Cricetulus griseus: one gene and its partners. The protein of the gene in region 1 binds, or shares a complex with, the protein of each later gene. Links are inferred from orthologs where the notes say so. Each region holds a gene or a part of one and is shown in the gene's direction. Other genes may lie near its edges.

What was found. The genes of interacting proteins can lie anywhere in the genome.
Region 2: Pold2 (region 1) and Rev3l share a complex: the UniProt entries of both Homo sapiens proteins name them as parts of the tetrameric Pol-zeta complex. The link is inferred for Cricetulus griseus from reciprocal best matches to the Homo sapiens genes POLD2 and REV3L.
Region 3: Pold2 (region 1) and Pold4 share a complex: the UniProt entries of both Homo sapiens proteins name them as parts of the tetrameric DNA polymerase delta complex. The link is inferred for Cricetulus griseus from reciprocal best matches to the Homo sapiens genes POLD2 and POLD4.

Annotation. Positions count from the first base shown.
Region 1 is NW_023276807.1:98,956,727-98,960,820, forward strand, and holds the start of Pold2 (DNA polymerase delta subunit 2), read left to right. Parts: upstream 1-1,294; 5' UTR 1,295-1,712; coding exon 1,713-1,713; intron 1,714-1,754; exon of another isoform or gene 1,755-1,905; intron 1,906-2,318; exon of another isoform or gene 2,319-2,379; intron 2,380-2,694; coding exon 2,695-2,970; intron 2,971-4,094. UniProt on the Homo sapiens protein: Accessory component of both the DNA polymerase delta complex and the DNA polymerase zeta complex.
Region 2 is NC_048595.1:262,232,244-262,236,242, forward strand, and holds the start of Rev3l (DNA polymerase zeta catalytic subunit), read left to right. Parts: upstream 1-1,199; 5' UTR 1,200-1,531; coding exon 1,532-1,670; intron 1,671-3,999. UniProt on the Homo sapiens protein: Catalytic subunit of the DNA polymerase zeta complex, an error-prone polymerase specialized in translesion DNA synthesis (TLS). Lacks an intrinsic 3'-5' exonuclease activity and thus has no proofreading function.
Region 3 is NC_048596.1:55,018,304-55,021,836, reverse strand, and holds Pold4 (DNA polymerase delta subunit 4), read left to right. Parts: upstream 1-1,346; 5' UTR 1,347-1,552; coding exon 1,553-1,649; intron 1,650-1,949; coding exon 1,950-2,039; intron 2,040-2,210; coding exon 2,211-2,322; intron 2,323-2,668; coding exon of another isoform or gene 2,669-2,693; exon of another isoform or gene 2,694-2,731; coding exon 2,732-2,768; 3' UTR 2,769-3,033; downstream 3,034-3,533. UniProt on the Homo sapiens protein: As a component of the tetrameric DNA polymerase delta complex (Pol-delta4), plays a role in high fidelity genome replication and repair.

The DNA of each region.
Region 1 (4,094 bases):
TAGTTTCTTTGTCCATCAAATGGGACTTGTCCCTGGAATACAAGAATGTTTCACCCGATGTTGGTGGTGCACACCTTTAATCCCAGCACGTGGGAGGCAGAGACAGGCAAATCTCTGTGAGTTCGAGGCCAACCTGGTCTACTGAGTGAGTTCTAGGACAGCCCCCATAGCTACAGAAAAACCCTGTCTCAAAAAACCAAAAAAAAAAAAAAAATGTTTCAACATAGTATTTAAAAATGCCACAGACAACCTGCACCAGCAGGCCAACACCCCACACTCACCCCAACCTACATAGGAAACACTATTTGACAAAGTGAAATATTAAAAAAAACAAATTATTAAAATCATTATTAAAGCAGAAACAAGAGGCTGGGGAGGGGCTCAGTCAAGAGCACTAACCACTCTTTCAGAATGCTGGCGCTGGGCTCCAGCACCCACCGTTGAGTAGCTCACAGCACCTGTAACTCCAGCTCCAAGGGATCCCACACTCTTTTTGTACTCCTCTGAGGCCACGTGCATATACCCATACACAGACACACATGCATTGACACAATTAATTTTTTTTAAAAGCCACTAAAAACCAAAAACAGAACCAGGGTGTATTAGTGTGAATCCCAGATTCCGCTGGGTGATTGTTCTTTGCCTTGGTTTCCCTGCCTGTGAGATGGGAGACTAGCTCATGCTTCAAAGGGAATCTGAGAAGTGGGTGCAATGAGACCGGAGAATTCAGAATAGTGGCTATCTTGCACAGATTACTATGAGCTGCTTTGTTAGGACAGGCCTTCTGAAGCTGGAGCGAGTATCACAGCGTTGGACAGAGAGTTGGAGGAAAGCTTCATCCACCCAGGAGCCACCAGGTCACCAGAGCCAGGGAAGTGTGACATGACCCGGATTGAGAGGCTCAAAACGGCCCATGACACCCAACGTGCTCACACTGTGTAACCTAGCCGCAAACACTCGCATGCGCAGGAAATCTACGGGGGGGGGCACGTTGTCAGGGCAACCGGAGGCGTGGCTTCGCGGTCCCTCGGCCTCCAGAGGCGGGGCACATGAGGATTGGCCGGACGAGGCGTGCGGCGATGGGCGGGGCGGGGCGGGCGGCGATTGGCCGGATGCGGTGATGGGCGGGATGGGCGCGCGGAGATTGGCGGGATGCGGCGCGGCGCGGTGAGTGTGCTGCTGAGAGGGGTTAATGTGGGTGCTGGGCCAGGCTGGGGGCTCCCGGGGCCACGGGCTGGGGTCTCGATGGTGCTTCGGACTGCTGCGTAGGCCCGAGCTGGGGGCGCCTGCTGCGGGGCGGGTCGTCCGTCGCGTCTGGCTGCGGGCACCGTGTGGGCCGCTGCCCACCACTGCGTGTTCGGCTTACATTGAATTCACACGCGCCCTTTTGGCAAATTCGTTGAGTTCGCTTCCTACGCCAGAGCTGCACATTAAAGAAAGCAGAGCCAGCAAGAAGAATTTGAACTTTGTATTAGCTGTACCAAAAAAGTAAAATGAAAAGAAGGCTGTGTTCTAAACTTACTACATCCAGACTGTTGTCGTTTAACCTACGCATGAAAAATGTTTAACCAGCCGTTATTATTTACTGAAATCCTCCGTGCATCCCCGGAGCACATCTTAATTGGACTCGTTGTGGGACAATTGTGCAATACCTCCTTGAAGATAACAAAAACCGGCCTCCCTGGAACTTTGAGTGCATTTGGAGGAGGCAAAGTAAATGCTTGAGAGATGCAAACAATTGGAGTGGCAGATGTAGTAAATTAGGTGTGGGGAAGTGAGTTTTAAGGAAAGACTTGAAGGGGAAGATCCAGTGAACCTGTGGGGCACAGGAGAAGAGCCAACAGAGAGTAGACAGGCCTCTGCTGGAGCCCCTGCTGTGGAAAGGACACTTGGAAGGAGAAACAGGTGGGAGGGGAGGAACAAATCTTACAGGTAGTGTTAAGAACTTGAGGCTTTGTTTACTAAAATAGCAGCCATTGGAGAGTCTTGAGCAGAGCAGGGGCAGCTTTACGTTTTATTTTTATCACTAATTGTCTTATGGTTGGTGAGCACTCAGAAGTTAAGAGCACTGGCTGCTCTTCCAGCGATCCAGGTTCAATTCCTAGCATTCTCATGGCTGCTCACACCTGCCTGTAGTTCCAGTTCCAGGGGATCTGACACCCTCGGACAGACATGCATGCAGACAAAGCACCAATGCATATAAAATCAAAATTAAAAAAAAAATGCTGAGTAAGCCATGAGGAGCAAGTTAGTAAACAGCACCTCTCCATGGCTTCTGCATCAGCTCCTGACTCCAGGTTCCTGTTCTGTTTGAGTTTCTGTCCTGACCTCCCTCTGTAATGGACTGTGCTGTGGAAGTGTAAGCCAGATTATACTGTGGTAAGCTTCTTTGACGATGCTTGGCAGCATTCCCAGAAGTAAGGTAGTTTCCAAGGAAGTGAATGAAGGCAGATCAATAATTCTGTTGTGGGTATGCCGAATTTGAGACCCTGGTAACTGGGTAGAAATATGGAGGAGATGAACAGGGTTTGGCTCAAGCTCCAGGTTTTATCTGACTAAGGCTACAGGGTGCTGTCTCCAGACATATCTCGGTGCCCATCAGATGCAGTGTGGGCAGCTTGGTTGAGACACCAGGGGAGCTCCTGCTTCGGGTTCAAGTAGGAGTTGCAGGGGTGACTTTGTGTGTCTTTACAGTGATGCTCCTTAGCCTGGACACAGCGGCGTGGACAGAACAAGCCAGGAACGCTGCCATGTTCTCAGAGCAGGCAGCACAGAGGGCCCACACTCTGCTCTCCCCACCATCAGCCAGCAATGCCACCTTTGCCCGGGTGCCTGTGGCAACTTATACCAACTCCTCACAGCCTTTTCGACTGGGAGAGCGCAGCTTTAGCAGACAGTATGCTCATATTTATGCCACCCGCCTCATCCAGATGAGACCCTTCCTGGAGAGCCGGGCCCAGCAGCACTGGGGTAAGCTGCTTCTAACCTGTTAACACTTTCCAGTTACTGTGGAAACTTAGTGTTGTTAGCTCTCTGTTGCTTCTTAAGTTAATAATAATGAGGGTTAAATTAACCTGTGGGGTTAAAGTTAGGTTTGGCTCAGAGGCTGGTCTGAGGTAAGGACTGAGTTCTGGCAGTGGTAGCCGCTATTTCCTGTCCTCAGTGCAAGTTAGGCACCCTTCGCCCACTCTAGCTAGCTAGAGAGCAGGCCATGGCAGGCTGGGCACCAAAAGCCTTGGTCTTTGAGGGATGGACCACACCCAAGCCATAGCAGAGCCACAGGTACTTCTGTGTGGTGCTAGAGTTGCCTTCCTTCTGTGGAATCCGCTCCTCCGGGTGGAGCTCTGAGGAATGTTCTTGGCTGTTCCGGGGCATGAGTGTGGTTCTGGCCGAGCCTCCACTTCACCCTGCCTCCTCAGCAATTTGTTCTAGGGTTGGGTCTGTGCTGATGAATCCCTGGAACTTTCTGGAACTTGCATTCCTTCTTCCTACCCAGCTTGGCTTTCCACATCTTTCCTGCTGAGCATAAGGGACCTTCACTTGCGTTTTGGTTTGCCTCCTGGGGGCTTTGAATGAGCAAGGCTGCTGACTCCACAGGGAATAAAATGGACCGAGGTGGAGGGGACATCAAGTGGGAAATGTAAGGTATATTTTCAGAGGATGAAGCATTGGGTGGAGCAGGGGCTGACACATAAGAATCCAAGGTCTTAGTTGGATACAGTGGTGCACACCTTTAATCCCAGCACTTGGCAAGCAGAAGCAGGTGGGGGGTCTCTGAGTTTGAGGCCAGCTTGGTCTACAGAGTGAGTTTGAGGACAGCCAGGGCTATGTAGTGAGACACCATCTTGAAAAAAACAAAAGAATCTGAAGTCTTAGGACATGGTAATTGTCGGGATGTAGCATGTGACTGAGACGTAGGTAATGTGTTTCACAGTTGCTTCTTGTGGCCATGGTAATGAAGTGTTGTAAACAGGGGACTTAGGACAACATATATTTATTCTCCCATTGTTCTAAAGGCTTAAAGTCTGAAATTGGGTTTTCAGCAGGACTGGTGCCTTCTAGAGGCTTTAGAGTAGATCCTTCCAGTTTCTGGT
Region 2 (3,999 bases), on another chromosome or scaffold:
ACCCCACGCCCCTTTTCTTCTGCGTTAACCCGTAGTAAAATCTTGCACGTGTTCAGAAATACGCGGCGACTTTCATTAGCCTTGTTCCTTACGCCAAACATTTTCTCTGAAAAGCTCTCAGGGCTTACCCCGCGGCCGGGAGCGGAGTGGAGGGAGGTGACGGGGGCAAACAAGTCTTTACGTGCACTCGCTCGCTCCTGCTGGGGTGCAGCCTGCACGGCCGCGGAGGAAACCACAGTCAATGCACTAGTCCTGGAGAGGGGTGCAGGGAGAAGGCGAGCGGGGGGGGGACAGGGGGGGAAAACAGGGGGCGGGAGAAAAACACGGCGGTGGGAAATCCCTGCGCTGTGTATTCGCCAACCCTGGGCAAAGCTGGGCAGGGCCGCGCGTGAATAAATCTCATTAAGTGGCCGGGCGCAGGCACTGCAGCACCGCAGAAGAGGAGGGGGCGAGGCGGAGCGCCGGGCTCGCCCGAGCTGGGGGCGGGGGAGCCAGCGAGCGAGCGAGCGAGCGAGCGAGCGCCAGGGCGGCCCTTTTATAGGCCGAGGCCCGCGCGCCCCCGCCCCTCGCGCTGGCCCGGGCTCCGCGCACGGCGCACGGCCCGGCGTTACCTGAGAAGGGCCGGCTCGTCCCGCGCCCCGCCCGCCCCGCCCCGCCCCGGCCCGGCCGCCAGCCCGCCCTCCCTCCCGCGAGGCCCGGGCCGCACGAGATCTACGCCGCGCCTCCCTTCTCCCGCGGGCGGCTTCCCTTACCTTGTGCGGGGGGGGAAAAAAAAAAATCCTCTCCGCGGCCGCGCCCGCCTCCTCTAGAGGACGTGAAATGGCGGTCGGCGAGGCGAGCGCGAGGAGCCTCCAAAACCCAGCGCCCCTCCGAGCCCATCCATGATATCGGCGCTCCCCCGGCCCCGCCGCAGTGACCCAGCCCACAGGCCGAATCATCGATTCCTCGGCGTGCGCCGCGCGGCCCGGCTTCCCGCCGTGCTCTTGCCGAAGCCGCGCGCTCCGGGCCGGGGAGAACGCCTTCCTCGCCCCCCAACCGGGTCCCCGCCGGGGCGCGCGCCCGGCCCACCCCGCCGCCCTCCCCGGCCCGCCGCCGCCGCCGCCACCCTCGCGCACTCACACTCACACACTCACACACACACACACACACCCCTCCACCCCTCCCCCAGTGGTTGCGTCCGTGACATCATCATCATGGCAACAAGAGCTGCAGCTTGGGACCGAGGAGCCCGTGTGATTCCCGGCGGCGGCGGCCGTGGCGGCAGCAGCAGCGGCACCACCCGACCCGACGAACGCGCCAGGGCTTCTCTCCCGCTGCCTCTCGCCGGGAGCGTGTGAGGAGGCGGCGGCAGCACCACAGCCCCGCACCCCCGGCGCGTCGCCGCTCGTCCCGGCGTCCGTGCGAGGGGAGGGAGGAGGGAGAGAGCCGACCCGAGCGAGAAGGGGAGGAGGCGCCTCTGCGGAGCCGCCGCCGCTGCTGCCGCCGCTGCCAGGTCGCCAGTGGAGGGGAGGCGGTGGCGGCGGCGGCGAACATGTTTTCTGTGAGGATAGTGACTGCCGACTACTACATGGCCAGCCCGCTGCGGGGGCTGGATATCTGCCAATCCCCCCTCACCCAGCTCCCTGTCAAGAAGGTGCCGGTGGTACGAGTCTTCGGAGCGACCCCGGCAGGTAAGCGGGAGCGGGCGGGCGGGAGTGCGAGCGGCGGGGCGCCGGGGCTGCCCTCCCCGCCGCCGCCGCGTAGTCGCGCGCACGCCGGCCGCCGGCCCTCTCCGGGGTCGCTGCGGACTCTTCCCTCTTCCTCGCTCTGCTCGCCTTTTCTCCCGCGCGTGACAGGAGGCGCAGAAAAATGTGGGTTCGTGCGAGCGCTGCGCCCCCCTCCGCGGCAGAGAGGCAGCGGGCGCCGGGTACGGACTGTGCGAGCGGCGGGCGGGCTGGGGCCCCGGCTCGGTGGCTGTGCCTCGTCCCCCCAAGGACGAGTTCGCGGGTGGGTCCTCAGAGGTCGGTGGTTGGTGGGACCCCGGACACCCGCTGCGCCTCCCTAGAGCCCTGTTCTAGAAATGGCTTTGAGCGCTGAGGGGAAGTGTCAGCCCTGTTGTCAGGCGCTCGCTGTTGCCTCTTTTCACCCTCGCTCTCCTCTGCCCCTGCCGGAGAAGCTGTGGCTGTAGAAAGTGGCGCCCGGGGCCAGATAATCTTTCTCATTGAAGTGACCATGTGGTTGTGCTGGAGTGCAGGTCGTGACTGCTTAGAGTTTAATGCCTCGGCGGGGACAGAGCGGCATCCTCAGGTGCAATGCTTTCAGGAAACGTGCATCCGTGGAAATAGGAAATGCGTGCTTGTGTCGCCCCACATAAAATATTACACTTAACGGGGTGAATTCGTTAGGAAACACAGCCAAGCTCAGCAGCAGAGACGTTTTTAAATGCCTCTAGGCTGGGTTGTAGGGCTGCATTTTAAAAATAGAAAAGGGGGGGGGGACTATTTCGAAGAAATGGTGGGAAAAATGACAGAAGCTATGTTCTGGAACACTCGTTGGAATTTATAATATAAATAGGATAGTGGCCAAATACACATGGTTTTCCTGTTTTCATTTTTTCTGTTTTGCTTTTTACATGCTTTTAAACTGTTAACGTGAAATGATAGAGCGGCTTTCTGGAGGAAGATGTTCTTGCCCAGGTTTCGCCCTATGGGATTTTAGATAGCATTTCCCACTTGATGCTCCTTGGCCTCATCGCCACTCATCTTTGTTATTATCGTCAGCTTCTGTGCACTACCAAGATGATACCACTTTCCAAAATGTAGGCCCCCATCCTAAGCTATTACCTTTTAATGTGAATTCTCTTTGTTAAAAATGTCAATGCTATAAATAAGGTTTGGCAAAAGACTCCTTTTTCAAATAGTGGGAGTTTGACGCTGTGAACCGTGGAAGATAGAGAAATCGAATGCTGTTAACAGTTTGTGCAGAGTACAGCCCTTGGTACTTGAAAGACTGGAAGATAAGAGGCATTATACTGTTCTGCAGGATAGGTTTTCTACCTTTTTAAATATCGTGGTGCTGTCTTTGTTTTGATGGGAAACACCCTGCTTGTTCTCGATTCAGGGGCAGAGAATGATAAGTGAAGTTGATTTTCAAGTTGTAGAGCAACATGCTAATAGGATGTGTTGTGGTGTAGCAGTTTGTACGCTGGTTGAGTTGCTCTTCTACAGTTTTGTTTTTCCTGCTACACTCACTAAATATGTATTTCTGGGTGATTTTAAAGGTGTATTATGTAAGAAAGTTTTGTTTGTGGAAATACAGCACAGATTATCACTAACAGCACAGTTTTGTGGAAGAATATCCTTTACATATATATAGACTGTGGTATATACACCTGTGTTTCTGAATATTGGAATGTGAAATATTTCAAAAGAAGTATTTATCTCTTCTTTCCTTCCTGAATATCTTACAATAGGTCACTAGCCCCTAATTAAAAAAAAAAGAAAAAAATCACTGTATTATGGTATACTTTGAAATGTCTAATGTAAATGAATAAAAACATACTTTTCAAACTTCAAATTGCCAGAGATTATCCGGTTGAAAGAGGTAAAATTTATAGGCTTAAACAAAATTTTCTGTTTCAAGCATGACACATGGATGAATATAAATGTCAGTTTAGCACTCAATGATTCATTCATTAATGTATGTTAATAATTTACTTGGTTGGATATGCCTTGGAGCTGAGGTCAAGAGAGAAAACAATAAAATAATTCCTTACATAGTATAAAACAATTCTTGTCTCCTCAACAAGAAGAAAATTGAAGTAGTTGGCATACACTGAACGTCTACAGTTTTCATAAATCAAGCATTTCTTAATGTTAGAAAATCCCAGTGGAATTAATATTAATTCAGTCTCAAAAACTAAGCTGCAGAGTTTTCTGCTTTTGAATTCTCTTCCCAAAGAAAACTAGTCCAGGCCACATAGAGAAATAAAACTTGAAAATAATAATGTAATAGAGAGGT
Region 3 (3,533 bases), on another chromosome or scaffold:
TGCCCACCATCCTCCTCTAGCTCTAAGGAGTTCTTTCTCCTTCTGCTTTCCTGTACAGGTCTGACAACTGGATGCCCCTCTACCCTGCAAGCTTGGGATCTTCTGGAGCACAAGGAAGGCTAGTTACACAGTATCTGTTACTAAGAGCCCTGATCACAATTTACCTACACCCACTTGCAAAACTCTTTTGATGTCTATTTTGAATAAGGTTGTGGGAACTGCTTAGTACAGCTCTAGGCACATGGTAAGCCCAATATAAGGGAAAGGTTTATTGATGTTATTTTCTGTTATATACACATTTCTAAGAAACAGAGCATATCTGTCAGTTAAGAACTGGAGATCTAAGCTGGGCATTGGTGGCACACGCCTTTAATCCCAGCACTTGGGAGGCAAAGGCAGGTGGATCTCTGTGAGTTCGAGACCAACCTGGTCTACAACAGCTAGTTCCAGGACAACCTCCAAAGCAATACAGAGAAACCCTGTCTCGAAAAAAAAAAAAAAAAGAACTGGAGATCTATGCCAGGCAGTGGTGGCACACACCTTTAATCCCAGCACTCAGGAGGCAGAGGCAGAGGCAGGCAAATCTCTGTAAGGCAATTTCTGTGAGTTTGAGGCTAGCCTGGTCTACAAAGTGAGCTCCAGGACAGCCAGGGCTACACAGAGAAACCTTGCCTCAAAAACCAAAAGGGGGCAGCGGGGGAGAACTGGGGATCTGAACCCATAGGGAGTGGGGACTAGACTTCTGGCATCCTGCTTGGAATGGAATCTTCCTGACTAGCAAAGTGGACAGAGGCAGGCTGTCGGGCCTGACAGTGGACACAGCAACCGCATGCCTGGGCTGGGTGGACAGTGTCTCTGCCAGCGGACTGTGAGAAAGGAGCCTTCGGAGCCCATGGGCTTCTCCAGCCAGGTCTCTTGGGGCCGGTAGGAGCAGGGAAAAGGCCAGGATTAGTTCAAACTCTCTTTGGACCTAAAGATCTGATCCCACAACGCTCTGGGGCCAACCGGCAGGAGTAAAAGGTTCCAGCCGGGCTCAGGGGACTTACAAACTGGCCACGGGGATTAGTGAGGCTGAAAAGAACATTTGCCTAGGAAGGAAAAACGGGAAGTGAGAGGCTGAGGATAACTCTCTATATGTCCCTAGGGACCCAAGTGGACCAATGAGGGACCGGAGGAGGTGGTGAAGTCTGGGGCATCTTGACAGGTCCTTGGTTCCGCCTAAACCCTCCTCACTCGGACGCAGCAGCAGCTGCCCCACCCCCTGCCCTCTGACGACTGCCATTGGCTAAAATTAGGGTCCCGCCCCACAAAGGCCGCTTGCCATTTGCTTAGGCTCTGATGTTTGCGTGCTTGTGGGGGCGGAAGACAGGCGTCATTCTCTGGAACCTAGGGACTTCCTCTCTCTGCTTGTCTGGGTCAACTTGTCTGTCCATCGCTGGCCCATCTCTCTCTGGCCCTCTCTCACACTCTCAGCAGCTGTCTTTCACAGGCCCACTGCCCTGCCTTTTCTTTCCCGCTATTGCCTCCTGCTCCGCCTGCCTGGGTGGCCGCCATGGGCCGGAAGCGGTTCATCACTGACTCCTACCCTGTTGTGAAGAAGAGGGAGGGGCCCCCTGGGCACAGCAAGAGGGAGCTGGCACCAGAGCTAGGTCTCTGAAATGTGGGGGTGGCAGAAAGAGTGGGTATGCAAGTATGCAAGGACCAGAAAGGGGAGGGGGGAGAGGAGAGAGAGAGAGAGAGAGAGAGAGAGAGAGAGAGAGAGAGAGAGAGAGAGAGAGAGAGAGAGAGAGAGAGAGAGAGAGAGAGAAGCTAGTATGTCTCATACTTCTGATGAGCTGTCTGGCTGCTGGATGGCAAAGGCAAATGAGTGAAGATACAGCCAGTGGCACAGCTGTGTCCAGGGTAGGGCAAAGGCCTGGATGGGCCTGAGGAGCTGCATGTTATTGCAGGAGAAGACACCCAGTCCCTCAGCCAGGAGGAAGCACAGCTGGAGCTGCTGAGGCAGTTTGACCTGGCCTGGCAGTATGGGCCTTGCACAGGTGAGAACCCCACCTCCAGCCCACCAGGCACATCTCTGAACCAGTTCTGTCATCGATGTGTTTCAGAAATAATCCAAGTGCCTGCCTAACACTGTCTCCTGAGACTGGCATGTGTGGAGGCCTCTAGCCTGGACTCTTCTGCCCTGCTGAGTCTTCTTTCCACCCTGGCAGGTATCACACGGATGCAGCGCTGGCATCGGGCAGAGCAGATGGGCTTGAAGCCCCCTCTAGAGGTGCACCAGGTGCTGAAGACACACTCTGAAGACCCCCGCTTCCAATTCAGGTCAGGACAGCTTTCAGGGAACCAGGCCCTTCTCTAGGAGTTGCCACTCTCTGGTCTGCATAGGGGCTTCCTTGACTTGGAGAAATGGGCACAGACTTAAGGGGTCCTTCCTGACAAGTAAGAAGGGTCTTCTAGGTGCCTGGCTCAAGACAGACCCCTTTAATGATCCTTACCTCTAAGAGCTAATGGTGGTGCAAGAGTATATACAGGGCCCATGGGGCTATCTGAGTACTGGGGGTTCATCAAAGCCACAGAAGCACACACAATAGTTAAGAACTGCTGAAGATCCATCAAGGAATAGAACTGACTCTGCTCTGCACTCCTCCTCCTCCCCTGTCTCCCACAGCCTCTGGCATCTCTACCCACTCTGAGGTTCCACCCGGGTTGTTCTTCCCTTGACACCTCCTAGCCACCAAGAACTTCTGGACAGAATCCATGGCCAGTAGATGCTGCTCTGCTCATCTCAGCTCTGGAGAAACAGTTAGCAGGCTGACTGTGGAGGTCATCCTGATTCAGCCTCTTACCTGTCCAAGCAACAGGCTCCTGATGCTCCTGAGACCACACCTCCGGGGCCTAATCATGACCACCAGATGCTTGCCATACCCTCTCTGATGTAGTAAATCCAGCACAGCCTGACTCAAAGCCAGATGTCAGAAGAATCAAAGAGTTCACTAACGCTTACAATAAAGTACATTAAGCCTGAAATCCTGACCTTTAGTCCCTTAATATGACTCTGCTCTAGCTGGCAGTTCCCAAAAGGTAAGTAGGCAGGAGAGCCAGCTATAGGCTTTTGTGTTGTCTGTCCCCCCCCCCCCCGCCGCAAAGACATGGTTTCTCTGTGTAGCCCTGGCTGTCCTGGAACTCTCTGTGTAGACCAGGCTAGCCTTGAACTCAGAGATCTGCCTGCCCCTGCCTCCTGAGTGCTGGGATTAAAGGCTGTGTCACTATACCACCTGGCTTCCCTATCTGTCTTTCTAAGGCAGTCTTCTCATGAGCTGAGCAGCCTCTGGTGTCCCCTGGTGGTACTTAGAAAAGCACTCTGAGTCTCCTTCCCTGACCAGCCAGCAAAAAGCCTGTCTGAGGTGCCCAGCTTGTAAGCAACTATTATGTTCTGACACCATAGGTCTCCGTGGGTGTTACTACCACTGAAATATAGCAAAACAAACATGGAAATCAGTTATGTCATATGGTGTTCAGCATTAAGTAAAATT